Linked DNA regions of Macaca fascicularis. The protein of the gene in region 7 interacts with the protein of the main gene of each other region in a biochemical or structural test. Links are inferred from orthologs where the notes say so. Each region holds a gene or a part of one and is shown on either strand. Other genes may lie near its edges.

Evidence for each region.
Region 1: of the proteins of CDKN1A (region 7) and AKT1, one has a biochemical effect on the other in vitro, tested with the Homo sapiens proteins (2 studies listed by BioGRID, with this or other methods). The link is inferred for Macaca fascicularis from reciprocal best matches to the Homo sapiens genes CDKN1A and AKT1.
Region 2: the proteins of CDKN1A (region 7) and SCML2 form a complex in vitro, tested with the Homo sapiens proteins (2 studies listed by BioGRID and IntAct). The link is inferred for Macaca fascicularis from reciprocal best matches to the Homo sapiens genes CDKN1A and SCML2.
Region 3: the proteins of CDKN1A (region 7) and CCND3 form a complex in vitro, tested with the Homo sapiens proteins (2 studies listed by BioGRID and IntAct, with this or other methods). The link is inferred for Macaca fascicularis from reciprocal best matches to the Homo sapiens genes CDKN1A and CCND3.
Region 4: of the proteins of CDKN1A (region 7) and SKP2, one has a biochemical effect on the other in vitro, tested with the Homo sapiens proteins (3 studies listed by BioGRID). The link is inferred for Macaca fascicularis from reciprocal best matches to the Homo sapiens genes CDKN1A and SKP2.
Region 5: the proteins of CDKN1A (region 7) and CCNA1 form a complex in vitro, tested with the Homo sapiens proteins (2 studies listed by BioGRID and IntAct, with this or other methods). The link is inferred for Macaca fascicularis from reciprocal best matches to the Homo sapiens genes CDKN1A and CCNA1.
Region 6: of the proteins of CDKN1A (region 7) and CASP3, one has a biochemical effect on the other in vitro, tested with the Homo sapiens proteins (3 studies listed by BioGRID). The link is inferred for Macaca fascicularis from reciprocal best matches to the Homo sapiens genes CDKN1A and CASP3.

What each region holds. Positions count from the first base shown.
Region 1 is NC_088381.1:172,986,633-172,991,178, reverse strand, and holds the start of AKT1 (RAC-alpha serine/threonine-protein kinase), read left to right. Parts: upstream 1-1,510; 5' UTR 1,511-1,795; intron 1,796-4,541; 5' UTR 4,542-4,546. UniProt on the Homo sapiens protein: AKT1 is one of 3 closely related serine/threonine-protein kinases (AKT1, AKT2 and AKT3) called the AKT kinase, and which regulate many processes including metabolism, proliferation, cell survival, growth and angiogenesis.
Region 2 is NC_088395.1:18,113,478-18,117,268, forward strand, and holds part of SCML2 (sex comb on midleg-like protein 2), read right to left. Parts: intron 624-3,791; coding exon 510-623; intron 1-509. UniProt on the Homo sapiens protein: Putative Polycomb group (PcG) protein. PcG proteins act by forming multiprotein complexes, which are required to maintain the transcriptionally repressive state of homeotic genes throughout development.
Region 3 is NC_088378.1:129,633,364-129,635,814, forward strand, and holds the end of CCND3 (G1/S-specific cyclin-D3), read left to right. Parts: coding exon 1-132; intron 133-581; coding exon 582-749; coding exon of another isoform or gene 750-955; 3' UTR 956-1,726; downstream 1,727-2,451. UniProt on the Homo sapiens protein: Regulatory component of the cyclin D3-CDK4 (DC) complex that phosphorylates and inhibits members of the retinoblastoma (RB) protein family including RB1 and regulates the cell-cycle during G(1)/S transition.
Region 4 is NC_088380.1:36,468,256-36,472,046, reverse strand, and holds part of SKP2 (S-phase kinase-associated protein 2), read right to left. Parts: exon of another isoform or gene 3,144-3,791; intron 1,142-3,143; coding exon 928-1,141; 3' UTR 1-927. UniProt on the Homo sapiens protein: Substrate recognition component of a SCF (SKP1-CUL1-F-box protein) E3 ubiquitin-protein ligase complex which mediates the ubiquitination and subsequent proteasomal degradation of target proteins involved in cell cycle progression, signal transduction and transcription.
Region 5 is NC_088391.1:16,020,615-16,025,186, forward strand, and holds the start of CCNA1 (cyclin-A1), read left to right. Parts: upstream 1-1,672; 5' UTR 1,673-1,799; coding exon 1,800-1,907; intron 1,908-2,206; coding exon 2,207-2,395; intron 2,396-4,572. UniProt on the Homo sapiens protein: May be involved in the control of the cell cycle at the G1/S (start) and G2/M (mitosis) transitions. May primarily function in the control of the germline meiotic cell cycle and additionally in the control of mitotic cell cycle in some somatic cells.
Region 6 is NC_088379.1:189,420,249-189,424,667, forward strand, and holds the start of CASP3 (caspase-3), read right to left. Parts: upstream 2,996-4,419; 5' UTR 2,928-2,995; intron 2,253-2,927; 5' UTR 2,085-2,252; intron 1-2,084. UniProt on the Homo sapiens protein: Thiol protease that acts as a major effector caspase involved in the execution phase of apoptosis. Following cleavage and activation by initiator caspases (CASP8, CASP9 and/or CASP10), mediates execution of apoptosis by catalyzing cleavage of many proteins.
Region 7 is NC_088378.1:134,986,951-134,991,445, reverse strand, and holds the start of CDKN1A (cyclin-dependent kinase inhibitor 1), read left to right. Parts: upstream 1-1,688; 5' UTR 1,689-1,914; exon of another isoform or gene 1,915-1,965; intron 1,966-4,495. UniProt on the Homo sapiens protein: Plays an important role in controlling cell cycle progression and DNA damage-induced G2 arrest. Involved in p53/TP53 mediated inhibition of cellular proliferation in response to DNA damage.

The DNA.
Region 1 (4,546 bases), on a different chromosome or scaffold from region 7:
CCTCTGCTTCCTCCCTGAATTCCTTCCTCTATCCTTGCATGGCAGAGCCGAGGATGGTGGGCGGATACCAGGAACTCTTCCAGGGGGAGCAATGGGCAGGTGGGACAGTCCCAGAGGGAGCCCCAGGTGGCCCATGGTGCAGGTTTGCTGGGTGAGAGACAGACACCAGACGCCCGGGCTCTGGGGGCAACCCTTGGGTCAGGTATCCCACCCAGGCGGCACAGACCACTGGGCCTCTGACTTGGCCCCCTGGAGGTCGGGCCCTTTCTGGGGTTACAAAGTCTGAGCTGGGAGGGAGCAGAGGTGCTCAGGGGAGAGGCAGGAATGGGGAGTCCCCTGCCTGAGGAGCCAGTGCCCCCATGCAGCGGGAGAGAGTCCTTCTCTTGGTCAGCCCCAAGAGGCAGGGATGAAGCCCCAGTTTTGGCTGCAGACTCTGTCCTGAGCACTGGGCCGAACCTGCTGCCTCTGTCTACATCTCCTCCCACCCCCTCCCCTGCTGCCAGCTGAAGTCACTCAGGCTGAAAATAAAAATGCTCCCCCCACCCCAATACTTAGCCTCAGGAAGGTTAACTCACAAGAGTCCCTCTTTCACAAAAGGGTTATTATCAACTGTGGGCCTCTGGAATGGGGGAGGGGCAGTTGTTGGAGGAACTTCTGGCTGGGAAGGGGTCGGGGTGGCAGTCACCTGCATCGTCCTGTGAGTGTGCAGGAGAAGGGGGTCTGTGTCCCATTCACTCACTCCATACCGGGGCCATCTGCCTCCCAGTGGACTTCGGACTGGGTGTCGGGGCTGACCAAGTCCACCCAGCAGGGAGGGTCCTGGGCTCTCAGCTGTCACAGCCCACCCTAGACACCGCTCCTCCTCTGTCTGGTGTCTGCTCCCAGCTCGAGGTGGGACCCAGGCAAGGTGTGCCCCTCTTCTCCCACTCCCCAGCAAAGTCTCCCTTTTGTGAGTGTAGCTGCCAGTACCTAGGTGAATGGTTGAGTCCCCTCGGAGCCTTCCCGCTCCTTGGAGGCACACCTCCAACTGACCTCCGCACTTCCCCCAGAGGCACAAGGTCCTGGGATTGGGCCTTTTAGGACACTCTTGGCCGTCCCTCCACGCCCCCCAGAGTGGGGCAGTGCATAGGTGGGGCACGGCCTGAAAGTCAACCTAACCCACCCCCGCCCCGCGCAGTGGAGGCAGAAGTCCGGGATTCGTCCCTGACCGGTCTCGGGCCTGGTCTAGTAGGGTCAGGGCAGAGCGAGTCCAGAAGCGCCGGGTCACTTTACAGATGGGGAAACTGAGGCCAGAGAAGGCGTGGCCCCGGGACGGGCTGGCTGGTGGCCGGGCTCCGTTAGCGGCCCAGCCCAGGCCCTAGGCCGCCGGGGGCCGCCCCTCAGCCCAGCCGCGCGCTTCCCGGGCGCGCTCCGCCCTCGCCGCGGGCCCGGGCGGCCGCGCGGTGGGGACGCCCCGGGCGGCGGAGGCGGATGTGGGCGGGCGGCTCCGGGCGCGGGGCGGGCGCGGGGCGGGGAGAGGGCGGGCCGGCGGCGGCGGCAGGACCGAGCGCGGCAGGCGGCCGGCCCAGCGCAGCCAGCGCGGCCCGAAGGACGGGAGCAGGCGGCCAAGCACCGAGCGTCGGGCACCGGGCACCGAGCGGCAGCAGCACGCGAGGCCCGGCCCCGAGCAGCGCCCCTGCCCGCCGCGGCCTCCAGCCCGGCCCCGCCCAGCGCCGGCCCGCGGGGATGCGGAGCGGCGGGCGCCGGAGGCCGCGGCCCGGCTAGGCCCGCGCTCGCGCTCGGACGCGGCGGCCCGGTGAGTCCCCGCCCGCCGCGGCCGCCCGGGCCCGGATTTCCTCCCCGCGGGCCGGGCCGCTTTGTTCCCGGCCGGTCGGGCCGGGGCGCGAGCCGCGGCGCCGCCAGAATGGAGGAGCGGGAGCAGGAAGTGGCCGAGCGGGCCTGGGCGGGGAGGGCGCGGGGCGCGCGGGCCCGGCCAAGGGAGGGCGGCCCCACGCCGGGCGCCAGGGGTGCAGGCTGCCGGCCCCAGCCTCCCTCATGACCTTGGGGAGGCCGCTCCACCCGGCGAGGCCGGGGCCCGGGAGAAGGGGCGCTGCCGGGCCTGGGGCTGGGGCTTGGGGTGCCCCTGCGGGCCGTGGGGCTCCCCGGGCGTTGGGCCAGCGAGACAGCCGGCGGAGGTGCCCCGGGGTTAGGAGAAAGGCTCGCCGCGGCCGGCCTTCAAGTTTGTGGGAGGGCCCCGGAAGGAGACTTCATTTCCCACGGACAAAAAGTTGTACGTGGTGGCGGGGTACCCAGGCTAGCCACAAAGGACTGACCCTCCTGGGCCCCGGAACTGCTTCCTGTCTTGGGTGGGCCCTGGAGGTCCTGCCTGCTCGTCCCAGAGGCCGAGGCTTAGAGGGCAGCTGGGGCTTGCCCCTTAGATTGAGTATCCTGGGGCGCTAGCGAGCCTTGGTCCTGTCGGGACGGCCCCTGAGTGCTGCTGTGGTAAGCGGGGTTGGCTTGGGCCCCTGCTCTGTAGCCAGAGGCCGCCCCACATTCACTCCTGGGTCTCTTGGCCTTGCTCCAGGTGGCCACTTCTTGACTGCTTTGAGTCCCTCATCCAAGCAAAGGGCGGAGTGCATTGGTGGAGGCCCGGTTCCCTCTCCCCGGAGCTGTATAGACTTATCATACACCAGGGTTCTGGAGGCAGATGGAGGAACCCTTTCGAAACACAGAGTATTTTTTTTTTTTAAGTTGTGACTTAAATAATAACAGTAGCAAGAATATGTGCTTATGGTAAAGGCAGGTGGCAGGTACGGAGGCTGTGGGAAGTTGGGGTCCCTCCGCCTCCACAGGCAGCCCTGTACTGGCCTGGTGTATACGTTTCTGTGCAGACGTACACCACCCTGTGTGTGCACAGATGTATTTTTACACATGGCTCTGGACAGCTGTCTGACTCTGTCAGCAGCAGGCCTTGGAGGGGCGCAGGCCCTGGTGGGGGGTGGGGGGACATCCAGAGGTCTTTGAGTCCAGCCCTCTGCCTCCAGGCCACGCCCACTCTGTCGTCAGAGCCCCCTGTGCCTGAGGCGTGCGCGGCTGGGAGCCCTGCCCTCCTCAGGTCTGGCCTGCTTTCCATCCTGCTGAGTACTTGGGGCATTTCCCTCTTTGAGCAAGGTGTAGTCTTCCCTGTCCTGGCATTAGACACGAGGCAGTGGGCCTTCCTGCCATTCTAAATGTAGCTTAAGACAGTCAGTGCAAAGCACCCCTCTGTGGGTGTCCAGCCCAGGCCTCAGGAGGCCAGAAAGGTTGCCTGGCGGGAGAGCATCTTGGCTGACTGTGGAAAGACCCATGTTGGGGTCCATTCCACAGAGGTCGTCAGGTATCTCTGCCTGGCCTGGAGGTCCCAGAGAGGACCCTCCTCCCCTCAGGAAGGCCCGTCTGGAAGGGTAGCAGAGGACTGCTCACAGGAAGAGCATGCCAAGTGCTCTTTCTCGGGATGCCAGGGGTTGGTGATGTGGGAACTGGGTTTTGAGGGATGCCTAGGAGTTCATCTATCAGAGGGGAAATGAGGAAGCCATGCAGGATCAATGGATAAAGTGTGCTCAGGTGAGGGCTGGCTGGTGGGCCACTGCAGGGTAGGGGCCTGTCCAGTGCTCCCCCACTTACTTGCTGCCTCCCAACTGCTGTAATTATGGGTCTGTAACCACCCTGGACTGGGTGCTCCTCACTGACCGACTTGTCTGAACCTCTCTTTGTCTCCAGCGCCCAGCACTGGGCCTGGCAAAGCCAGAGACGCCTGGTACACGTTGGCCAAATGAATGAACCAGATTCAGACCGGCAGGGGCGCTGTGGTTTAGGAGGGGCCTGGGGTTTCTCCCAGGAGGTTTTTGGGCTCGCCCTGGAGGGCTCTGGGCTGCCGTTTGCGCCAGTGGCCTGCATCCTGGTCCAGTCTTCTTCATGTTTGAATTTCTTTGCTTTCCTAGTCTGGGGAGCAGGGAGGAGCCCTGTTCCCTGTCCCAGGATCCATGGGTAGGAACACCATGGACAGGGAGAGCAAACGGGGCCATCTGTCACCAGGGGCTTAGGGAAGGCAGAGCCAGCCTAGGTCAAATAAGTCTCAAAGGGACTGCCTGGAGGAGGCAGCCTGTCAGCTGGTGCATCAGGTTAGGCAGGCTGGGAAGGCCTTTTGGGGATGGGGATGATTTGTCCAAAGGCTCAGGGAGGTGGGAATGGGGAGGTGAGCAAGGCAGCAGCTCTCAGGGCCAGGTTGTTGAGGGGAGTGGTGGCAGGGGCTGGGGACTCAGCCTAGAATGAGGAGAGGCCCAGGTCCAGGGAACTGTGTTCAATTACATGGATTTTACACTTGGCAGCCATGAGTGTTTTGGGGGGAGGTAAGGCAGGCCGGCAGTTGGGGGTCAGAGAGCCTAGAGGGATGGCAGCCCACCTGGGAAGGCAGGTGCAGGTGGAGCCCCCAGGCACGTGCAGTGGGTCTCCGACTCACCCTGGGCGAGGAGCTTCCCTTAGCCTGGCATGGCCTCACACTCAGCTTCGTTTGTTTCTCCCAGAGGCT
Region 2 (3,791 bases), on a different chromosome or scaffold from region 7:
ATTAATGGACATTGTCCTACAGTCCAAAGTGATTGCATATCACCTATATTTTTCAGAGTAACTTACTATCATTTGCCAGTCTTGCCACCAAGACTATAAACACCTCACTAAAGCATTTGTTTTTAGAAATGCAGTTCTTCATTACTATTTGTTATAATATGATCATACAGTTGGTTTCTAACATTTGTTTACTACTTGGGCAGTTAACACATTCTCTGGAGAAAGGCAGAGGTTTTTCTATTCTTCTTTCTACCAATTTTTAGCAATACAAAAGTGAAGGGAAAAGGTTATTAGGTTATTATAATTTTTTTTTTCTATGGAGAAATAACAGCCATGCACTTCTGAAGGGAATGAAGTGTTCAACAAAGCTGTCCAAGTAGTAGCCTAACTGCCAAACTTATTTAGGCAAATTTACCTCTCTACCTCCAATACTACCACCCCAAGAGTATACACAAGTGGTAGCAGAGAAACATTTCTTCCCAATCCTGGGAGGTGTAAATGCTATTTACCTTCAGATGCGTACTCCTTTGTTTTGGGGAGCTTAGGAGAGAGAGGAACAACATATGGTACAGATTGCTGAGGAGATCGTTTGGTACTTTGCCTTTCTGTTACATCTTCTTTTGCTGTTCTCAAAGAAAAAACAGTTGTCTGTTATAACGAACTAATATACTGAAGCATTTTCATATCATCAGCATGAAACACTTGTTTCTACATCATTTGCCTACAATACCTTCATTGACAACTTCTCAATTATTTGATGTTCTTGAATAACATGTGTCTATTTCATCCTATTTTATATTTTCACTGAAATAATATTCAAGACTTAAAAGCATTTCCAGAAGGAGTATATCTAGGCTTCTTTATTCTGGGGTTATCAGATCTCTCTAAATATCTCACAAGGCAGTGAGGCAACCCATTAAAATGTGTCTAAAATGGCCTGGGAAAATTGCTCCCATGAGCCGGAGGAGTTAAAACTTCAGAGAAATTAAATAAAAGATATGGCATAATGAACATCCATTTTGTTAAGTAACAATCCTGGCTTAGAGCTACCCTTAAAACAAGTCTACTGCTTACTTATCATTCAACCAAACGCACTTCTACCTAAAGGACCACTCTGTAAAACATGATCCTGAAAGTAAAGACAGCTTCAATTATCAATTATACCCTAAGTATCAACAAATATCCTGATTTAACCTCCAACTAAAAGGACAAATAAGGTATAAGAAAAATCTTAAAAGTCTGATAGTAGACCTCAAAAGAGAAGAAAGATTGCAATGAGTATCAAAGTCAAACTTCATCTGGTTCAAAATTTCAGCTGAGGGCCACGCATGCTGCTCAAAATGTTATGATGAGTAACCTTTAGCTCAATCTAGTTACTCAGTGAATCCCAATGAGTCCGGTAGAGCTCTTACCACTTTAGTTTTATTTTTAATAATGGACTATAAAACCAACAGGCAAAACATATCTCAAATTTCTACAATTAATTAATTCATTAAATTCTAAGGAAAGAAATAATTGGCTTTTCATACCAACTTAATAATATGGAAAATTCGAGTTCTAAAATATAGTTTTCTATAAATGTTTATTTCCCTCAGAATCTTGGCAAGATTAGAAAATGTCTTCATCATTTATTTGTAATGTACTAATGCTTTATGAAAAGTTTACGAAGCTGGGTATGCTCTACTATCTGGGGCTGAAACAAATATAAAATTGACTCGACTTCTGCTTCTGGGTATTGTAGTAAGGCTAAGGGAGGAAAGTGTTCCTACAGAGATAACTAGGAAAAGCCAGGTAATTTACAAAGTATTTTTTAAATCATCAGAGAAGCACTTCCAGGATGACTGATCAAAGACCTCCAAAAATCTACTCCTTCATAAAAACATTGAAAACAGTGGCAAAAACTATAAAAACTTTTTCAAACCTCTGGAAATTAAAGACTTGCCACAATCCAAAGTGTTTAAGAAAAATGAATGGATCTCAGAAAAAAACAGCAAATTCTGTGGCATTTTAACTTGCCCTAATATAATCCCCCTCACCCCATTTTCACAGTAGCCTTGAAAACCAACACTTCACAACTACGGCAGGTATGAAAAACAGCCATGCAATAGTCACTGGATGGGGACATAATGGGTTTGGAGCTCTCCAAAAGCCCCATGCCCAGAGAACTATCACTTAGACCAGTCTTGAAGCTCACTGAAAAGCTCCCTTTCAGGGTTTGTCTTTATTTGACCTAAATTAGAGCTTGTTCTGTGTGAACAACCCCATCTCCAGGGCATCTGATGGGGGAAAATAGTGGCAACTGTTTAACTTTGCAGCTGCCTGAGACCATATTACCAGTCAGGGCTAACAATAGGTTGGCCAAAAAGCTTAAAAGGAAAAACTGGGTATAAGATGCCCCCTAGGAGACTTTGAAAAACACAGACATATTCCTGGGAATCTAAACAGTTCACATGCATGTGCTCGGATGTATATATGCATGCCCAGGAAAGACATGAGAACACCCTAATCTTTCATCTCTGGCTGACCTTGAGGCTCTGCACAAAGTCAACTTACAAGCTGCCTCTTGGAGCACTGACGTTATGTCCCAACACACACAGAAAACCCCTTGGCCAAGGCTGGGAGATACACTGGTTCCAGGTATTTAAGGAAATTTCTACCCAATCATTAACCACATTAAGCTAAACAAGCAGACTTCAGTGACCACTCTTTTTTTTTTTTTTTTTTTTTGAGACGGAGTCTCGCTCTACCACCCAGGCTGGAGTGCAGTGGCCGGATCTCAGCTCACTGCAAGCTCCGCCTCCCGGGTTTACGCCATTCTCCTGCCTCAGCCTCCCGAGCAGTTGGGACTACAGGCGCCTGCCACCGCGCCCGGCTAGTTTTTTGTATTTTTTTAGTAGAGACGGGGTTTCACCGTGTTAGCCAGGATGGTCTCGATCTCCTGACCTCGTGATCCGCCCGTCTCGGCCTCCCAAAGTGCTGGGACTACAGGCTTGAGCCACCGCGCCCGGCCTTCAGTGACCACTCTTAACAAAGAAATACAGACTTTACAGAATTAGTCCAGGAAAAGTCACTAAACGGCACCAGCAACAACAACAAACCCTAGGGAGAAGGGAATCTGATTTCCAGAGTTGCCATATTATATGATTTTTAAATGTCCAGTTTTCAACAACAACAAAAAAAGGAGACATGTGAAGAAACAATATGGTCCATACAAAGGGAAAAAAATCAGTTAACAGAAATTGTCCCTGAGGAAGTCCAGACATTGGACTTACTAGACAAATACTTTATTTTGGGACACGGTCTCAATCTGTTGCCCATGCTGGAGTGCAATGGCATGATCTCAGCTCACTGCAACCTCTGCCTCCCAGGTTCAAATGATTCTCGTGCCTCAGCCTCCCAAGCAGCTGGGATTATAGGCACATGCCACCACACCTGGCTAATTTTTTTATCTTTAGTAGAGAGAGGGTTTCGCCATGTTAGCCAGACTGGTCTTAAACTCCTGGCCTCAAGAGATCGTCCCGCCTTGGCCTCCCAAAGTGCTGGGATTACAGACGTGAGCCACTGCACCCGACCTAGACAAATACTTTAAATCAGCTATTATAAATATATTCAAGGAACTAAAAAATGAAAATCATGTCTAAAGAACTAAAAAAAGGCCAGTGTATTAGTCCGTTCTCATGCTGCTAATAAAGACATACCCGAGACTGGGTAATTTATAAAGAAAAAGAGGTTTAATAGACTCACAGTTCCACATGGCTGGGGAGGACTCACAATCATGGCAGAAGGCAAAG
Region 3 (2,451 bases), about 5.4 Mb from region 7:
ACCTTTGCCATGTACCCGCCATCCATGATCGCCACGGGCAGCATTGGGGCTGCAGTGCAAGGCCTGGGTGCCTGCTCCATGTCCGGGGATGAGCTTACAGAGCTGCTGGCAGGGATCACTGGCACTGAAGTGGTGAGTGCTGGGCAGCTGGGCAGCAGCCTCTCCATTCATATAGTGCTATGCCCTGAGCCTCCAGTAGAGGGAAACCTCCAACCCCAACCTGGTCCTGAGTCCTGGTTTCACAACCTTGGGGCTTTGTGGCTTTTTATCTCCTGCCTTGGTCTGGAGAAGAGCAAGTATCTTGGGTGGGGTGAAGGGCACTGGCCCTAGGGGCTCTTTTCTTGCCAAGTGGTGTGCTGGAGTGGGGGTGGGGGATTCGGTGTCAGATGCAGGGCTGCTCTCACACTCCCTTGCCACATCCTCTTGCTAGTTTCTGAGAACTGAAGAGCGATTCCTGGGGCTGGGCTGTGGCCTAACCTCCCCAGACTTCCCCATGTGTTGGGAGCTGTCCTTCCCCTGCACCTGCTGCCAGATGCTATGGGGGGGAGTGTTCAGTCCTCACTGTTCTCCCATGTTCCCAGGACTGCCTGCGGGCCTGTCAGGAGCAGATCGAAGCTGCACTCAGGGAGAGCCTCAGGGAAGCCGCCCAGACCAGCTCCAGCCCAGCGCCCAAAGCCCCCCGGGGCTCCAGCAGCCAAGGGCCCAGCCAGACCAGCACTCCTACAGATGTCACAGCCATACACCTGTAGCCCTGGAGAGGCCCTCTGGAGTGGCCACTAAGCAGAGGAGGGGCCGCTGCCACCCACCTCCCTGCCTCCAGGAACAAACCACACCACATCTGAAGCCTGAAGGGGCGTCTGTTCCCCCTTCACAAAGCCCAAGGGGTCTGGTCCTACCCATCCCCGCAGTGTGCACTAAGGGGCCTGGCCAGCCACGTCTGCATTTCGGTGGGTAGTCAAGCTCCTCCTCCCTGCATCTGACCAGCAGCGCCTTTCCCAACTCTAGCTGGGGGTGGGGCAGGCTGATGGGACAGAATTGGATACATAACGCCAGCATTCCTTTTGAGCGCCCCCCACCCCTGGGGGCTGTTTTCAACTGCCAAAATGCTCTAGTGCCTTCTAAAGGTGTTGCCCCTTCTAGGGTTATTGCATTTGGATTGGGGTCCCTCTGAAATTTCATGCATGATAGACACATATGAGGGGGAATAGTCTAGATGACTCCTCAGTACTTTGGAGGCCCCTATATAATCCGTGCTGACAGCTGCTCCTAGAGGGAGGGGCCTAGGCCTCAGCCAGAGAAGCTATAAATTCCTCTTTGCTTTGTTTTCTGCTCAGCTTCTGTGTGATTGACAGCTTTGCTGCTGAAGGCTCATTTTAATTTATTAATTGCTTTGAGCACAACTGTAAGAGGACATAACGGGGTCCTGGCCATCCCACAAGTGGTGGTAACCCTGGTGGTTGCTATTTTCCTCCCTTCTGCTACTGGCAAAAGGATCATTGTGGCCGAGGAGCTGCTACAGCCTGGGGTGGGGTCATGCCCTCCTCTCCTGTTGTCCCTCTGCCCCATCCTCCAGCAGAGAAAATGCAACAGGGATGCCCTGGAGGTGGCTGAGCCCCTGTCTAGAGAGGGAGGAAGCCCTGTTGACACAGGTCTTTCCTAAGGCCACAAGGTTTAGGCTGGTGGCCCAGGACCATCATCCTACTGTAATAAAGATTGTGAAATAAAACTGGCTTTGGCTTCTTGGATTGGTGTGTGGGTTAAGTCTATTTCTGGACTGTATGAGGTAAGGAGGCGGAAGCCAGTGGTCTAAAGCAGGGATCATTGAGCCTTTTCTGTAAAGGGCTGGATAGTTAGGCTTTGCGGGCTATATGGTCTCTGACCCAAATATAATCAGTTCTCTTTATAATGTGACCTATGTGTTCCTGAAAATCACTATGCCATGCAATTTGCACAATAAAAACCACAGGTCTCATGGGAAAAATGGGGCTTGAAGCACAACACTCAAATGAGTGACACATGTTAAAAAAAGGATAGCTTGGTTTTTACATGTCAAATGGTTGAGAAATACATAAATATTACAATAAATACGGCCTTTTATCTTGAAGACATGCACTTTGCTTTTGGAAGTGGATGTTGGAAGGGTTGCTCAACACAGGTGGGCAGCTAAGTGAGGTAGCTGGTACATGTTCAAGTGTGAGTTTTGTGTACTAGTTAGGCTTGGTTCAGCTGGGTACAGTTTCCCATATTCACCTAATGTTTCTCGAGGATGAAATCATACACAAGCAAACATTAAGCCTGCGTTATGATCAAACTGTTCCCAAATATATTAAATGGGTTGGAACAAATGCACAATTTTGGAAGCAAATAAGGGTTATAGCAGGATTATACTTAACTCTGCTGTTGTAGCACAAAAGCAGCCACGTGAAACATGTAAATGGGTGAGCATGGCTG
Region 4 (3,791 bases), on a different chromosome or scaffold from region 7:
AAAGTAACCTTAAGAACCTCAGCGCTAAAGGAAAACAGCAGGCAACTTCAGAATTCTTCCATCCAAATTTTCAAGAATACAGACTGGATTAATACCACCTTTCTAAAACAAAGCAAGTCATTTTAAAAGCTAAAGGACCCATGTTAACATAATTTGATTATCAAGTTAGAAAACCACAATTATATTTCTCATCTAATTTAGATTCTGGAAACAGTAACTTAATGAACATTACAGGATACTTCAAATTAACCTGTCATAGAAAACTGTCTCCTGGGCCTTCGAATCCTACACCAATTCTATACCTCTGGGTTTTGTAATGTTTAGTCTTCTGTAAGTTTTAAGGTGAATTACATGGGATTACTTATTTCTATTAACCTAATTTCAAATCTAAAGGCAAAATTAAAATGCATTTTTCTCTTTCCTATTCCCAGAAAAGATGGCCTTAGATGCTACTATCCTATGATTCTCTTTTTGTTCAGCTCATAATACAAATAGCTTATTGTTCTTCTAAGCTGTCTTATAAAGCAATACTATAAAATTAAATAGATAAAAGTTATATGGGCTATGAAGATTGTTTGCTGGTGGTAATTTTTAAGCTTGATTCTGAATAGACTTAATAAGAAGGGTACTTGGAAGAGGTGGCTCAAATTTTGCTCTTTAAGGTGTCTTGAAATTATAGGCTCACTCTCCCAAAATTTCAAAAGGCCTACAACTTTGGCTCTTAAGAGCAAAGCAGTGATAGAAGCTTTTAGAATCATTTCAAAAAGCAAGATTTCATAGTTTTCCCCCTCAAATGGTTCACTAGTATACTTGCAGAATGAAGGCAAAGGGAAAACCAAGAATAAAACTAGCTAAGTACTCCAGCAACTGGGCTTCCTGCTTATTTTCCCTGTTCTAAAGAAGAGGCACCATCCTGCAATAAATACTTCATAGACAACTGGGCTTTTGCAGTGTCAGTCGGCACTTGATGCCCCATATCTCCTGGTTCTTTTTGTTGCCAATAGTTGGCCTGGCAATGGTGGTGAAATGGGAGCAATTAATTTGCAGGTGAGGAAGGGCTTCTTTTAACAGTTGAAGGGTACCATCTGGCACGATTCCAAAAACTTGTAGTGTTTTCAGTGTGGGAATTTCTCCAAGTTCACTGGAAAGGAAGAAAAAGACTTTCAGAATGGCAGTATCTATGGAAACTGTTTGACTAGAGTTATATGACCCAAATTTTACAATTTGTATCATCTACAAAATGCAGTCTGAAAATACAATTTACAATAAATGATTTGAGAAAATAGCAAATTAAACTGGAAAGCACAGACCATATCGCTTGAGCAACAGGCATTAGGAAACGCACTGCTGCATTTTATTGAATGAGGTTCCTAATAACCTTAGAAACTCAGGTTTCTTTAAGAATCCAACCATATTTGCTTCCTTTCTCCTGTTGTGATTTATATAGTGATCTGAATAGGGTTACTGTATTGTGAGAAGAAACTAGCAAGTGAGGGATGGTAGAAACAAATGTTTGACTGTGGCACCAGCTGGAACCACCACAGGTTACATGCAAATTAAGGATATGAACTTGACCTTTATTTGAACTAGGCTCATCTCTCAAAGGGAGATGCTGTCAGGATTGATGAACTTCTTAATAATGGTTCATAGTCAACAAGTCCATTATGTGTGATGAAAACTACCACTGACTTCCCTAAGATATTTTAGATAGGGTTATGTAGTTGGGTACAGGTGGAGAAAATGGGTTAAAAATCACACCTTTTATAGGAGGCAATAGCCATCTTACCTCCCTACGTATTACCATTTTTTTCTGCATAGATAAGCCAGTCCCTTTAGGTATTTCACATTAGATGAAATTCAACCCTGTTAACAGTGAAATTCTGTTTCACAAATTCAGTTTCTCAAATTCTGTTTCTCCAAAGTAAATACTGTTTGGTGTTGGTAATGATTTTTTTCTTCTTAACTCAGATCTATGTGCCTAGAAATTCAACTCTCTGATCTGTATTTGCTCACGGTTGGGACACACAGTACAAAGTCTCAGGAAAGGGAACATTTATTTTGGAATTTCAACAAAGTCCTACTACAGATCAATGAGCACCTCAATGACCTAAAGTCAGAAACATCCTTTATATCTTCACATTGTCAATAATTACTTTTAAAAAGCCCCAAACCTTCCTTGTAACTGTCACCTGACCTCCAGTCTTTCTTCCTTCTAGCCTGTTCTATATACTAATTTCCAAGGCATCTTCCTAAAGCCTAGCTCACGTTAGTCATTCATCTGCTCCAAAACCTTTGATGCTTCTCTCGTGTTTACAGAACCCAGGCTGTTCAGCTAGTCTGAAGACCTTCCGTGTCTAACCTGCTCTTCCAGTCTTCCCACTACTCCCCGAAATGTATTTATTCTACATTCCACAAGGTGTCTTAAACCCCACAAATGTTTAATATACGTTAGCTGAGTACAGGATGAAGGCTAATTTACAAAATAAAAGCACTATCCAAATGAAATAAATATGCTTGTTCACAAGGGGACAGTAAGATCTAAAGGCATATAACCAAAGAAAATCGGAAAGAACAAATTGCTGTCATTAAGTAAACTGCTTTCTGGAATGTAGAAACAGTATCAAAGTAAGATCACAATACACAGATACTTAATCACTTACGATGACAGCAATCCAGCTCCAACTTTGAATCCCCCATGTGAAATTTGAGAAACATTGTAATTACTATGAGAATTCTGGTTCTGGTATATCCAAATTAGCCAAATTGTGAGCCATTCTGCGCTGGAGAATATTTAAGGGAAGAAACTGTAGGTGGAGTAAGAAAAGGAGGAATGGCAGATGGCAGAGGAGGACATGTTCTTACAACAGCATTGGGAAAGAGATTTGGTGAGGAAAGAAATGAAGACCAGACTCTCAGAACACACTCGGGTGTTATATATAAGGGGGTTATATAAGATAAAATGATGGATGAAGAACTAGTTCCCAAGTCAAAAATCCAGAAAGTCTAAGATTTTAAGGAGAAAAAAAATACACAAAAAACAAAGCCTTCTGGTATGTGCAACTCAGAATAAAAAATTTGCAAGCATCTTTTAAAAACTACAATGGAAGAGACTGAAGAACAAACTAAGGGATAGCAAATAGAAATAAGTAGTTCAAGAGGCTTTATTTCTAATGTAAGAAGTGTAAAATAACACCAATGTCTTATGTATATCGAATTTTAGAAAATAAAAGATATTTATGAACTCACAGGATTGCTCTTTACCTTATCTATACAATAATCCTGTTTTCCTTATAAAATCTTAAATGCCTCAACTACAAATGCTCCTACCACAGAAGTTTTTTAGTCTTATCTCAGATTAGTTTACTATCTCCAGTTTGGGTTTCTTACTTGAATGAGAAATAGGGAAGAATTAGAAGGAAGTTTAGACATAGAGAAGAAGACCAATTAAGAAGTAAGAGAATAAATACAATGGGAATAGGTCCTGGGGAAGAAAAATTTATAGTTTCCCAAGTATTTTAAAACATTACTACAGAAGAAAGACATTCAAATTGTATTTTCCCACTTCAGAGAAATAGATAGCCTTAAGTTCTTTAGCATAGGTGGCTCTCTGGAAATTACTATGGAAACACCCTGGAAATTTTATTATAAACTTCAAATATATCAGTTGCCAAAATGATTGAAATTAAAGTCATTCTAATTCTCATTTTATCTTGAGAGACTTTTAAGCATAAGGTACCAACAAACTCATCTTGAAGGATTCACAATGCAAATCAGTGTACTATTTACACAAT
Region 5 (4,572 bases), on a different chromosome or scaffold from region 7:
GGCAATCTAGATGTTACCAGAGTTCCCGTGTTTCCTTCGGGAGGCACAGGAAATTCAAAGGCACAGGAAATCTGGGGTGCAAGAGGACTGCTGTCTCTCAAGGAATAGAAGTCTGTGACAAACGTATAGAAATGAGTTTCATGTTGAACAAGATCCGTTTCTGTGTTCCTCCCTCATCCAGCCTTGATTCTCCAGATGCTTCCCAACTTCTTATTAATATTTGAGTCAACTGCACGGCTTTCAACCCGAGATTTTGTTAGAATACTTCTATTTTCCCCTTAAAGCAATGCCCACACTCAGTTTGCTTGGTAAAAATGTTAATAACGCACACTTTAAAAAAGGCGATAACCGTTGCTTGCATAAAGTGGCTATTTGACTACACTTTGGGTCTGATTTAGAGATTTAGGGGTGGATGTTTAAACAAAAAAGCAAAAGTAGTAACAGACTACAGCATTGGTAATGTGTGTGTGCATATATACATTAAAAAAAAAAAAAAAAAAGTTCGATTCTTTCACCTGGCTTGTCCAGTCACCTATGCAGGCGTCTGAGCCCCCGGGTTTCCAGGAGCTCCCCCGTATAAGGACCCCAGGGACTCCTCTCCCCACGCGGCCAGGCCGCCCGCCCAGCCCCCAGCCCGGAGCGCTGCCACCGACCCCCTCAGAGTCCCAAGCCCCAGCTGTGTTGCCCGCGTTCCTTCCTCTTCCTGGGCCACAATCTTGGCTTTCCCGGGCCGGCTTCACGCAGTTGCGCAGGAGCCCGCGGGGGAAGACTTCTCGTGGGGACCTCGAGCACCACGTGCGACCCTAAATCCCCACATCTCTGCCGCCTCGCAGGCCACATGCACCGGGAGCCGTGCAGGACAGGTGCCGCCCGCAAGAACCCCCAGCGATGGAGACGCCACACTGCCGCGACTGCACGTGGGGCCACCCCGCCGCGTCCCGGCCGCCGCCCGGCAGGAAGCGTAGGTGTGTGAGCCGACCCAGAGCGAGCCGCGCCCTCGGGCCAGCGTGGGCAGGGCGCCGCAGCCTGCGCAGCCCCGAGGGCCCCGCGTCGCTCTCCCGAGCCAGGGTTCTCAGGAGCGGGCCGCGCAGGAGACGTTACAGGGGGTTGTTAGCGGCTGTTGGGAGAACGGGTCACAGAAACAGTCCCTTCCAAAGCCGGGACCACCGTGGGGTGGGCGAGTCCGCCCTCCCAGGCCGGGGGCGCGGACCAGAGGGTACGTGTGCAGACTGCGGCGGCCGGCCCCACCTGGCCCGGGCGGAGACGCACAGCTGGAGCTGGAGGGCCGTCGCCCGTTAGTCCCGCAGGGGCCTGAACGCCCAGGGGTCGCGGCTTGTCCACCCGGAGCGAGTCAGGTGAGCAGGTCGCCATGGCGATGCGGCCGGGGGGAGCGCACGCCAGCCGCGGTCGGCATGGAAACGCTCCCTCCGGGAGCGGTCCGGGAGCGCCGCTGATTGGCCGATTCAACAGACGCGGGTGGGCCGCTGAGCCGCAGCGCTGAGCCGGGTCGCCTCCCAGGCTGGAATCCCTCATCACTTGGTACCTCCCTCCCCGCCCTGCCCTGCCCCGCCCCGCCCTTCCAAGTCCGGCCCCGCCCGGCCCCGCCCTGCCCCGCCCGGCCCTGCTCCGCCCTGCCCGCCACCTCTTAACCCGATCCTCCAGTGCACTTGGCAGTTGTTCCAGATACATAGAAAGATATCGCCGGGAAGAGCTGGGCCCGATTTGGGGTCCAGGCAGGTTTTGAGGCCTCCTATCTGGTGGGAGGAGGCCGCAGTGCACCACCCTGCTCGTCACTTGGGATGGAGACCCGCTTTCCCGCAGTCATGTACCCTGGATCTTTTATTGGGGGCTGGGGAGATGAGTATCTCTGCTGGGAAAGACAGGGGCTCCCAGATTTCAACTTCCAGGTAACGTGGGTTTAGTATCCCGACTTGAAGGCTTGTCAGAATGTTTCTCTCCTTCCAGCCCAACAGGAGGTCTTGGGATAAAAAAAACCCTCAGAGATTGGAATGACTGTTTTGATTCAGAGCAACTTTGATCGTTTGTGCGGTGGCTCATGCCCTTTCAGCACTAACAATTGCTGGGAAGATCAGCAATTGGTGTTAGTCCCTTTGCTTGGTGCTCTCCCTCCTAGAGGTTCTCTTGTGTCCTTGGAGCCCCGGGTGGACGGGGTTGAGTAACCAGCTTGTCTCTCTTTCCCTGGTAGCAGCAGCGCGTGGAGTCTGAGGCAATGCACTGCAGCAACCCCAAGAATGGAGTTGTGCTGGCTACAGTGGCCCGAGGTCCCGATGCTTGTCAGATACTCACCAGAGCCCCGCTGGGCCAGGATCCCCCGCAGAGGACAGTGCTAGGGCTGCTAACTGAAAATGGACAGTACAGGAGGACCTGTGGCCAGGTAATGACTCAGACGCACTGGGAATGATGCTTGTGGAGAACGGCCCTCCTCTTTGGTGCCAGGTGCTTTTCTCTTGCTTTTGTACCTACAGCTCCCCCTGAGTATTACAACCCTGGAATCTGGACTACAGGGAAATTGATCTTTCCTTTCCTTTCCTTTCCTTTCCTTTCCTTTCCTTTCCTTTCCTTCTCCTTTTCTTCTCCTTTTCTTCTCCTTTTCTTCTCCTTTCCTTTCTCCTTTCCTTTCTGAGAGAGAGTTTCGCTCTTGTCGCCAGGCTGGAGTGCAGTGGCGCTGTCTCGGCTCACTGCAACCTCTGCCTCCCGGGTACAAGTGATTCTCCTGCCTCAGCCTCCTGAGTAGCTGGGATTACAGGCGCCCACCACCATGCTCGGCTAATTTTTGTATTTTTAGTAGAGATGGGATTTCACCATGTTGGCCAAGCTGGTCACTAACTCCTGACTTCAGGTGATCTGCCCACCTCGGCCTCCCAAAGTGTTGGGATTATAGGCGTGAGCCACGGTGGCAGGCCAGTTGATTTCTTAAGATCACCTTGAGGGGTTCGGTTTTCAGCTAGAAATAGTGATTAGTTTTCTTTGTTATTTTTTCCACTACCAAGGAAATAGGTCTAGGAACTGTTTGGATTATGTATATTAAAGTAATTTAAGGGCTGGGCTAAAAGGAAATGTGAATGCTTCCAAATAAACTGTGGAAGTGGGGTTCCTCCAGGTCAGAGCAGTGTTCACACTGATGCAGGCTGTGCCTAAGGGAAACCTGGATAATCTTGGCTGTGTTCATTGGGGATAGTGTTAAAATCAGGATTAGATTAGGCTAGACTCGATTACTCCAAAAAGCGTGCTTTGAAAGCAGACCTCTTCCCAGTACTGACTAAGCAGCTATGCTAACAGGTAATGGTCCCTCAGGTATTAGTTGTGTGAACTTAACTGATCATAGATACCTTAACAGATGAAAACTATACCTTCCCTATTTCGTAGGTGAAAAAATCTGAAAGGTTTAATTAAGCCTCTGCCAAAAGAAAGATATGGTAGAAACTAGATTAGAAGCCCCTCATCTACTGACTCTTCACGTGATCTGTTCAAAACTTTGGAGAAAATTGAGTGGAAGTGGTTTTAACAAATTTTAATTTGCTTAGCGATGTTTGCTTTTTAAAACTTAAAGCCTGAGACTTGGTTCTTATGAATTGTCAGTTGTGCTTATGTTGAGTGGTCGCATTTTAAATTCCCAGTTGCTAATCTCTTATGTTACCTGGTGCCACTTCTGCATTTCACTGTACCTATCCTCTACAACCTGCTTAGAAATCTATTTTGTACCTTCGTTTCTCTGTTTAATCCTCAGTAACCTCCTCCTTCATGCTCACTCTCAGCTGATGACTTTGTATCTTATTTTCCTAAAAATATAGAAGCATCCAGAAGAGAATCTGCACATGTTCCTGTGTGCCATATAATCTGCCATCCACAACCTGTTATGTGTCTGCTATGTCCCTGCTGTCATGCGAGGTCGCCCCCCAACCCCATGTGTACAATATACTCGTGTCTTCTTGTTTCTTCAAGGATGTCACTCTAGCCACTTTTCTTTCTCTCATATCTCATTGGTTTTTTTCTTTTCTACTGGGCCCAACCTGTAAGCATACAAATATATTGCCATTTTTCCATCTTAAAAACCTGTCAACTAAACGCTCCCGCTGAGTGTTACCACCCTGGAATCTGGACCACAGGGAAGAAGTTGATTTCGTAAGATCACCTTGACCCGTCCCTTTTTCAGCTAGAAATGGTGACGAATTTTCTTTGTTAGTTTTCCAATATCAAGGAAATTGGTCTAGGAACTGTTTGCATCATGTCGATTAAAGTAATTTAAGTGCTTAAAGTAATTTAAGTAATGGGACAGAAGCTGTCCCATTTAAAGCCACCTATCTTGAGAGTTTGTCATATCTCGACATATACAATGTTGCCTTTCCCACTAACATGTAAGCTCCGTCCAGGTGTTGATACAGGTTGTGATGTTCACTGTTGTGTGTCCACTACTTTGAACAGTGCCTGGGCCTGACCAGGATGGCACACAGTGTTTGTTGGATGAATGCTCTCTGTCTCTAGTTCTTTTTCTGCTCTATTTTGACTCAATTAATAGTCTTTTCCTTCCTCGGCTGATCAGCATTATTTGAC
Region 6 (4,419 bases), on a different chromosome or scaffold from region 7:
ATAAGTTCCATTGTACTATACAAACAAACCATCCTTTCCTTTTCTCTGGCATGGGCCATGTGACCAGGAAGACAGTATAGAGCACTCCCCACTATTCAAAGTCTCCGAGTTTACGACACAAGTCAGAAAGAATGGCACTTACCATGTGCAAAAGCTCTGTCCTCCCTGTGCCAAGTGAAGTCCTAGGATAGTGTTTTTGGAGGGACAAAAGGAGAAAACGGGAAAGCCTTCACAGATCTAAATGATTTATATAAGTGTAAAATGGAGGATCTTGAATGCTTTTTTATAAAAATTACAGATAACATTAAAGGCTCACCACTCCCACCAAGAATGACTACTTTGCAGAATCAGATTCAGGTTTAAAACCGCTTGAAGAAACCCTACTGTCTGGAAGACTGAAACTGCCAAAAGTCAGATTCAGTAGCATCTATTCATTTGATATTTGCACCATAACAATTTACTGAACACCAACTGTGTGCAGAGTACTATACTAGACCCTGAGTGTATCAAGCAGTGGACGAGACAAACCCTATCTCTATGCAGGGCTTATACCGATGCTCACTGGCATTCAAAAGTGGCTCAACAAAGCAGATGCCAGACGGTGTCCAATACATATCAGGTAACTTGATTGCATTATTGTAATGCAAAGAAGCCCTACAGGCAACATGTGACGGTAAGAACAAAACATGCAGAGAAAGAACATTATATAAATCTAAGAATTCTCACATCTTTTTTTAGGCCCAAATACCAGTGCTTCCTATCTTTGGGGCAGAGCTTAAACATCTAATAGTAGGCACCAGAAGCAATGTAATATATCATTCATGAAAATAAAGACTGCTTTGTAGGGGGATGAAGCAGTAGGAGATTGTGTTAAATGAGGTCTGAAAGCAAAACAGTGAAGAAGCATTATAACTGCCTATATCAGATGCCAGTCTCTTCAAAAGGCAAGAGTCAAGGCCTTTATTCAGGATAGCAAAAGCAAACCTGATTTAACTAGGTACAATGTCTAATGTCTCTTACTCTGAACAGGTTTTATTGCCATACTCCAATAAACTGTTCGTGCATTCACTAAAATATATTTTCACTTTCAAAAACCTTCTTTTACAAAAAGGCAAAGCAAAACCAAAGCCCAAGCATCGGGCTGTGATAGAGATGATTTAAGCTTTACATTTCACTTTTAGAGATGATGTAACCACAGCACGCACACTCACAGTGGCTGAGCCCATTTTGATACAGTCTAGTCTAACCACCTTTCCTGGCCCTCTTTCTGCTATCTTGCAGGTTTACATGGTTTCAGTGACTCCATGTCACCTCTACCATTTCTTTTCTAACTATTATTTGCTAAATAATCCTAAACCAGGTCTACTTTTTCTAGATAGGGCATAAAAGTAAAAACACAACGGATGGGCATTCACTGCGTTGTGCCAGGGCCCGCATTTGGTGAAAGACTCTAAGGACACCAAGATAAACCAAGTCCATCCCTCCTGGAGTTTGCTTGCAAATCTAGCAGGGAAGACAGTAAACAAGCAACTGCAGAGGATATGACACATCTCTCTTAGGGAACGCTGGCTGCAGAAAGAACACAGTAGAGGAAGATTGAACCTTGAACTGTTTTAATGAAAACAGAAGTTTAAGTAGCAGCTCTTACTTCTAATCAAATGTGATGGCGGGAGAAGGGGAATGCAGAGGTGTGGCAGACACTAGCTATGAAGGTCAGCATTGCTGTGCAGAAAGTGAATCGGTGCTAAAGATAGGGAGGGGTGGGGGCACTCAGGACCCAACACGTACTGGGGTTTGTCAGCCGTATTAAGTGCTGGGTTTAACCTAAGGGCAAAGGACGCGCTTTCTAGACTTTCATTTCATAAAGATCCCTCTGTGCTGTGAAAAGTGGACTACAAAGGAGCAGGCGGGTCTGGAGGTGGAGAGACCAGGGAAGAGGCTGCTGTGGAGATGGAGAGACGTGGACAGACCTGGCAGACGTTTACAAGGTCGACAAGGCTTGGTGACTAAGCGGGAAAAGAAGTAGGTGGGCGAGAGGGGGGCGAGAAGGATGTTTTCCGGTTTCCTGCTTGGGTGCCACTTACTGAGAATGGGGGAAAGACGCAGGTGCAGAGCACACCCACTGAAAACAACAGCGCCGAGCGCGAGCAGGGCTCGCTCACTCCTCACGGCCTGGGATTTCAAGGCGACGCCAATCAGCTGTGGCCACGGAGACACAGCCACAGGGATGAGCTGTGAGCACTCACGAAACTCTGCAGGGCCGAAAAGGAATTGGATTTTAAACCCTGCAACTAGCTCTCTGGAAGAGCTAAACCACACAGTCAACCCGGGATAGTCCAGGCCCCAGGCATGGAAGGCAGCAGAGACGGAAGCCTCGCCCAAAATTGGAAGGATCAGCCCCGAGGGCGAGTCCCTCACAGTCAGCACCCGGCCGCCCCAGCCCTCGCCGCACCGCTTCCCGGGGCCACTCCTCCGCCGGCGGTAGCACCGTCTGCTTTCCAGCTTGCCGCTGCCTCCCGCTGCCTGGCCCGGCCTCCTGGCCCCAGGCCCGGCCGCCAGGTCTCTGGCCCTCGGAGTTCGGTGCCCCGTGCCCGACCTCCCGGCCCCGGCCTCGGTTCCCCCGGGCCGGCCTCCCGCTGCCTGGCCTCCCCGGCCCCAGGCAAGCCTCCCGCCCCCGGGTCAGGTCTCCCTTCCGATGACCTGAGGCCTTTCCTTAGGTTACTCCCAGGTCCCTCTCCCTAAATCAAAAGCCTTAACCCGCTGCCTGGCTGCCCCGGCCCCGGCCCCGGGCTTCACTGCTCGCTGCCGCCCCGGGTGAGGTGGCAAAACAAAGGCTCCGCCGCCCAGGTCCCCGGGCGGGCGCTGGGCCTGGGAGGACGCAGGGAGCGGGGACAGGGCTGACCGCCCGGAGCGAGCGCGGCACTCACCGCACAGCCTTCTCACACCTTCCACAACCGCCTCACAGCAGCAGCCACCCGTTACGATCCGCGTCTGCACCGCTTCAGCAGCCCGCCGCCTGGGGACGTGCTCCAGCGCTAGCCCCGCCCCCGGCCCGCCCCTGTCGGCCCCGCGCGCCCCCTCCCTGGGGCCCGTCCCCCAGCTCCCGCCCGCCCGAGAACCCAGGGCCGGGCTGGGCCCCAGGAGCCGCCAGCCCGCTGCAGCCCGCGCCCGCGCCCGCGCCCGCGCCCGCGCCCGCGCCCGCGCCCGCGCCCGCGCCCGCGCCCGCGCCCGCGCCCGCGCCCGCGCCCGCGCCCGCGCCCGCGCCCGCGCCCGGGTCCCCGCCCCCCGAGGCCCCGCCCCCGAGGCCCGCCCCCGAGGCCCGCCCCCGAGGCCCGCCCCCGAGGCCCGGCCCCGCTCCCCCGCCCCGGATTTGAAAGCTGGGTCTTCCTGAGAGTCCGCGGGCTTCCGCTCCCAGCGCGGGATTCTGGAGGTAATTTGAGGAAGAGTTGGAAACCGCGCCAGGCCCAACGGGGACCTAGAAGGGAGACAAGGCCAGGCCTGCTGCCCAGTGTGAGCTCTGAGAAGAAGAGGAGCGGGCCGGGACGCCCTCCGGTAATTTCCGTCCCCCCTCCGGTGACCTGAGGCCTTTCTTGGGGTTACCCCCAGGTCCCTCTCCCTAAATCAAAAGCCTTAGCCTCCTGTCGCCAGGGTGCCGGGCTAGTAATAAGCAGGTCCACGCATGCTGGACACACGGGCTCAAGCCACTCCGCGCATCAGTCAGTACTACAAACCGTACGCAGTAGTGTACTTAATCCATATATAAACGTTACATGTTAAGCATCCCACAGCAAACAAAGTAGCATTTAACATCCCGAGGAAAAAAAGAGAGAGGACAAAGAGATGAACAACCAATCCAGAGGAAGTGAAGAAGAGAAGAAGAAGCCTGGTTTGGGCCCGAGAGGTCCTTCTGCAGAGACAGCGTCAATTAAGACTGTTTGGAGCTGCCGAAGGCAGAGTCCGGGTGAGAACTGACAGTGGAAGAGGGCGCTTGTTTGTGTCCTTACCTGAGTGGATGCGGACTAGTTTTTTACTTGTTTATTAAAGTATAGTATCCTTGTTGGCAAATGCCCTATGAAATATAAAATGGGGTCTTTTCCTAAGATGGAGTTATTAATAGTTACGTGAAGGGTGTGCTATACACTGCCGTACTGATCCCCTTCCTATTTTGGGTCATGAACTCATTTTAGACCCTGAAGCAAACTGTGAATCGTTTTCGCAGAAGAATTCTCCAACACGTGAGCACGACATTCTGCATCAGATTTCAAAAGGTTCTTGACATTCAGAAGTCAGATCAGGGACCCCATGGCAGAGCCTATTTCTAACGCTTGCGCCTATTCGACTATAGGGACTATATTCTGCACAGAAATATACTTAGTTTTATGTATCGTTACAACTTGCTGAGAGTTTATTGCATGCTTT
Region 7 (4,495 bases):
CTTCAAGGCCGTGGGAGGAGATGCCTATCCTCTGCTGGACATTTGACAACCCACCCTTTGGATGGTTTGGATGTATAGGAGGGAAGGTGCAGACAGCAGTGGGGCTTAGAGTGGGGTCCTGAGGCCGTGCTGTGGCCTTTCTGGGGTTTAGCCACAATCCTGGCCTGACTCTAGGACCAGGCAGGCCGAGGGGGTCTGCTGCTGTGTCCTCCCACCCCTACGGGCTCCCATTCACACAGCAGAGGAGAAAGAAGCCTGTCCTCCCTGAGGTCAGCTGCGTTAAAGGAAGAAGACTGGGCATGTCTGGGCAGAGATTTCCAGACTCTGAGCAGCCTGAGATGTAAGTAATTGTAGCTGCTCCAAGCCTGGGTTCTGTTTTTTAGTGGGATTTCTGTTCAGATGAACAATCCATCCTCTGCAATTTTTTAAAAGCAAAACTGCAAATGTTTCAGGCTCAGAAAGGAGGCAAAGGTGAAGTCCAAGGGAGGGCAGGGGTGTGCGGTAGATGGGAGCGGATAGACTTGTCATTCATCTCTGTGTCTGTCAGAAGCACCAGTAGACACTTCCAGAGTTGTCCTTTATTTATGTCATCTCCATAAACCATCTGCAAATGAGGGTTATTTGGCATTTTTGTCATTCTGGAGCCACAGAAATAAAGGATGACAAGCAGAGAGTCCTGGGCAGGAGGCAAAAGGCCTGTGTTCCAACTATAGTCATTTCTTTGCTGCATGATCTGAGTTAGGTCACTAGACTTCTCTGAGCCCCAGTTTCCCCAGAAGCGTACAGGGGCTGTGTGGGGAGTATTCAGGAGACAGACAACTCACTCGTCAAATCCTCCCCTTCCTGGCCAACAAAGCTGCTGCAACCACAGGGGTTTCGTCTGTTGAGGTGAGTGTAGGGTGTACAGAGATTGGTTCAATGTCCAATTCTTCGGTTTCCCTGGAGATCAGGTTGCCCTTTTCTGGTAGTGTCTCCAATTGCCTCCTTCCTGGAAGCATGTGACAATCAACAACTTTGTATACTTAAGTTCAGTGGACCTCAATTTCCTCATCTGTGAAATAAACGAGACTGGAAAAGCATTCCGGCCTCAAGATGCTTTGTTGGGGTGTCTAGGTGCTCCAGATGCTTCTGGGAGAGGTGACCTAGTGAGGGATCAGTGGGAATAGAGGTGATATTATAGAACTTTTCTGGAAATTGCAGAGAGGTGCATCGTTTTTATTATTTATGAATTTTTATTTATTAATGTCATCCTCCTGATCTTTTCAGCTGCATTGGGTAAATCCTTGCCTGCCAGGTCGGACTCCCCGACCCCCAGAGTGGATCAACGGTGGGCCAGAAAGGGGGCTCATTCTAACAGTGCTGTGTCCTCCTGGGGAGTGCCAACTCATTCTCCAAGTAAAAAAAGCCAGATTTGTGGCTCACTTCGTGGGGAAATATGTCCAGCGCACCAACGCAGGCGAGGGACTGGGGGAGGAGGGAAGTGCCCTCCTGCAGCACGCGAGGTTCCGGACCGGCTGGCCTGCTGGAACTCGGCCAGGCTCAGCTGGCTCGGCGCTGGGCAGCCAGGAGCCTGGGCCCCGGGGAGGGCGGTCCCGGGCGGCGCGGTGGGCCGAGCGCGGGTCCCGCCTCCTTGAGGCGGGCCCGGGCGGGGCGGTGGTATATCAGGGCCGCGCTGAGCTGCGCCAGCTGAGGTGTGAGCAGCTGCCGAAGTCAGTTCCTTGTGGGGCCAGAGCTGGGCGCGGATTCGCCGAGGCACCGAGGCACTCAGAGGAGGTGAGAGAGCGGCGGCAGACAACAGGGGACCCCGGGCCGGCGGCCCAGAGCCGAGCCGAGCGTGCCCGCGTGTGTCCGTGCGTGTCCGCGAGGATGCGTGTTCGCGGGTGTGCGCTGCGTTCACAGGTGTTTCTGTGGCAGGTGAATGACGGGCGTGGATCGGTGCGCGCTCGGCTTGCGCACACGGTATCTGTAAGTGCGCGGGTGACGGGGGTCGGGATGTGCCGGAGACCCGGGGCAGAGAGCGGGATTACCAGTACAGGGATCCCCGGTCACGATCCCCGCCCCTGGAAACCCAGCTGGGGCGAGGGAGGGCGTGGACCGGACTGCTCTGAGAGCTCGCCTTTGGCTGCGGTTGGCTGCAGGCCCCAGGCGCAGTTTGCTCGCGGCCTGGGGATGAAGTCCGTGTCCCTGGAGGGGCCCAGGAGGGGCGAGGAAAGCGGAGTGGAGTAAATTCGTCTAGGATCGGTCCTAGGCGGCTCTCGGATCCAACTGGCGCCGCCCTGGCCCAGGTCCCAGGTTCAGGTCCTCTACGCCACTGTGTCCACCACCTGGCTGGGCACTGAGGTCAGCGCGGGCTGTTTCCCGGCCCTTGGGAGTGTGCCAGGACACGTCCCCTAAGGACAAACGAGGAGGTGACTCACTGTGACAAGGAGACCCCAGGGAACGGACTGTATGAGGTCAGAACCCCGCCCGGGAAGGGGTACAATGGGACTCCCGAAGCCCTCTCCCCTGCCCCGCCGCGGTCTCCGTCCTCCCATCGGCACAGTGACCTATTTGGCTGGAACAGCTTGTTCCCAGGGAAGCAGGGCACCGGAGGTCCAGGACACCGCGTCGGGTCCCCGCTTCGCTAGGGGTCGGGGAGTCACGACTCTGCGCTGGGCGGGCTCCAACCAGCCTGTCAGTCGGGGAAGGGCAAGGGTCTCCTCTAACTCTTTCCCACCGCGGCCGGGAGAATCACGGCCCAGCCTGCCCTCGGGTCGGGGCGCTGGACTCCGGGGCGAGAGCAGAGCCCACGCCTGGGTGGGAGGTGGTAAGGGGTCAGGTCTTTGCGGGGTGGGGATTCTGGGGGGCACGACGCTGCTCAGGGCCTCCATCAGCTGCCTCGGTGGCGCCCCGACCTAGCCCAGATTCCCTCTCGGAAAGCGACAGGGCTGAGCGGAGCAGGGGGGCGAGTCGCCCCCTGGGGCGCCGCCACTTGGCGCGGATCACAGCGCATCCTCTCGGTCCAGAACCCCTGGGGGACACTTGCGCCCTCTTCGTGCGGAAAAGCATCTTGGAGCTGGGTTTGGAACTTGGGGCGCCCAGGCAGCTTCCCCTCTCCTTCCCTCCCTCCACGTCGCGTTTCTGGGAGGACTTGCGAGCGGTTTTGTTTTCGTTGCTCCCGTCTATTTTTATTTTCCAGGGATCTGACTCATCCCATGCTTTGGGCGTGGAGATAAGGTGGAGGGGTCGGCTCCCGGCGCGTGTGTGTGTGTGCGCGCGCGCGCGTGTGTGCGTGTGTGTGTGTGTGTGTGTCAGAGACGGCACAAGAGCGCGCGGTTTCCCAACAGCGGCGGGAGTTTCGGAAGCCTGGCCGGCTCAGCGTGACGTGTTCGCGGCGCCCCCCCGCTGTCCCCTCCCATGCTCCCCCTCCCCACCCCAGGGTGACGCGCAGCCGGAGTGGAAGCAGAGTTTTGGCGGGCGAGCAGCGCCTTGCAGGAAACTGACTCATCACTACTCCCTCCCGCAGTCCGAGGCTCTGCCCACGCACCTCCCACCCCGCGCGTGATTTCCTGGAGGCCGGCGCCCCCTCCCGGCCCTGGCGGTAATAGCACACCGGCTTTCCCGCGGAGTGGGGCTGGCCGGCGCGAACCGCCGCGGCTACTCCGAGAATAACCCCTATGCCATTACCACCCCTTCAAAGGAGCACTCCTTAGATTCAACAGTATTTACTGAGCTCTTACTGGAAATTAAAATATGGCTGAAGTCTAAGGCAGCAAAGCCAATAAAGGAGGCTATTTTCAGTTGTTTGTAAAACACGGGTTTACGTTTCTGTTTTCTTTGGGCTGAAAGTTATTATGACAATGAGCATGAGAGCAGATTTTGATGGGCGAGGAGAGGCCTATAAGAGCCATAAGAGAAGGATGGGTGGTAGAAGAGGAGAGGGTACCTGCCTAGATCCTAGTCCTGTCTTGAGCTCCCGGGAGCCAGGGAATATCCAGCTCCTTGATGAAGCCCTAGGCGGGCTCCTCCTCCTTGTGCCTATGATGTATTGAGACCAAGAATGTCCATTTCAAACACACCAGTGTGTCCCCCTTTGGCTGGCACCCCAAGAGTGCCCATCTGAGGAACGGTGCCAAACACTTGCTTGAAACTTCAATTTGGATTAAGTTGGTCTCAAGAGGCAGGGATTTTTCAAAATCTATATTTTGAAAAAGCTCCCTAGGTGCTTCTTTCTTTCTTTCTTTCTTTATTTCTTTCTTTCTTTCTTTCTTTCTTTCTTTCTTTCTTTCTTTCTTTCTTTCTTTCTTTCTTTTCTTTCTTTCTTTCTTTCTTTCTTTCTTTCTTTCTTTCTTTCTTTCTTTCTTTCTTTCTTTCTTTCTTTCTTTCTTTTTCTTTCCTGCCTGCTTGCTTGCTTGCTTGCTTTCTTTCTTTCTCTCTCTCTCTTTTTCTTTCTTTCTCTTTCTTTCTTTCTTTCTTTCTTTCTTTCTTTCTTCCTTCCTTTCTTCCTTTCTTCCTT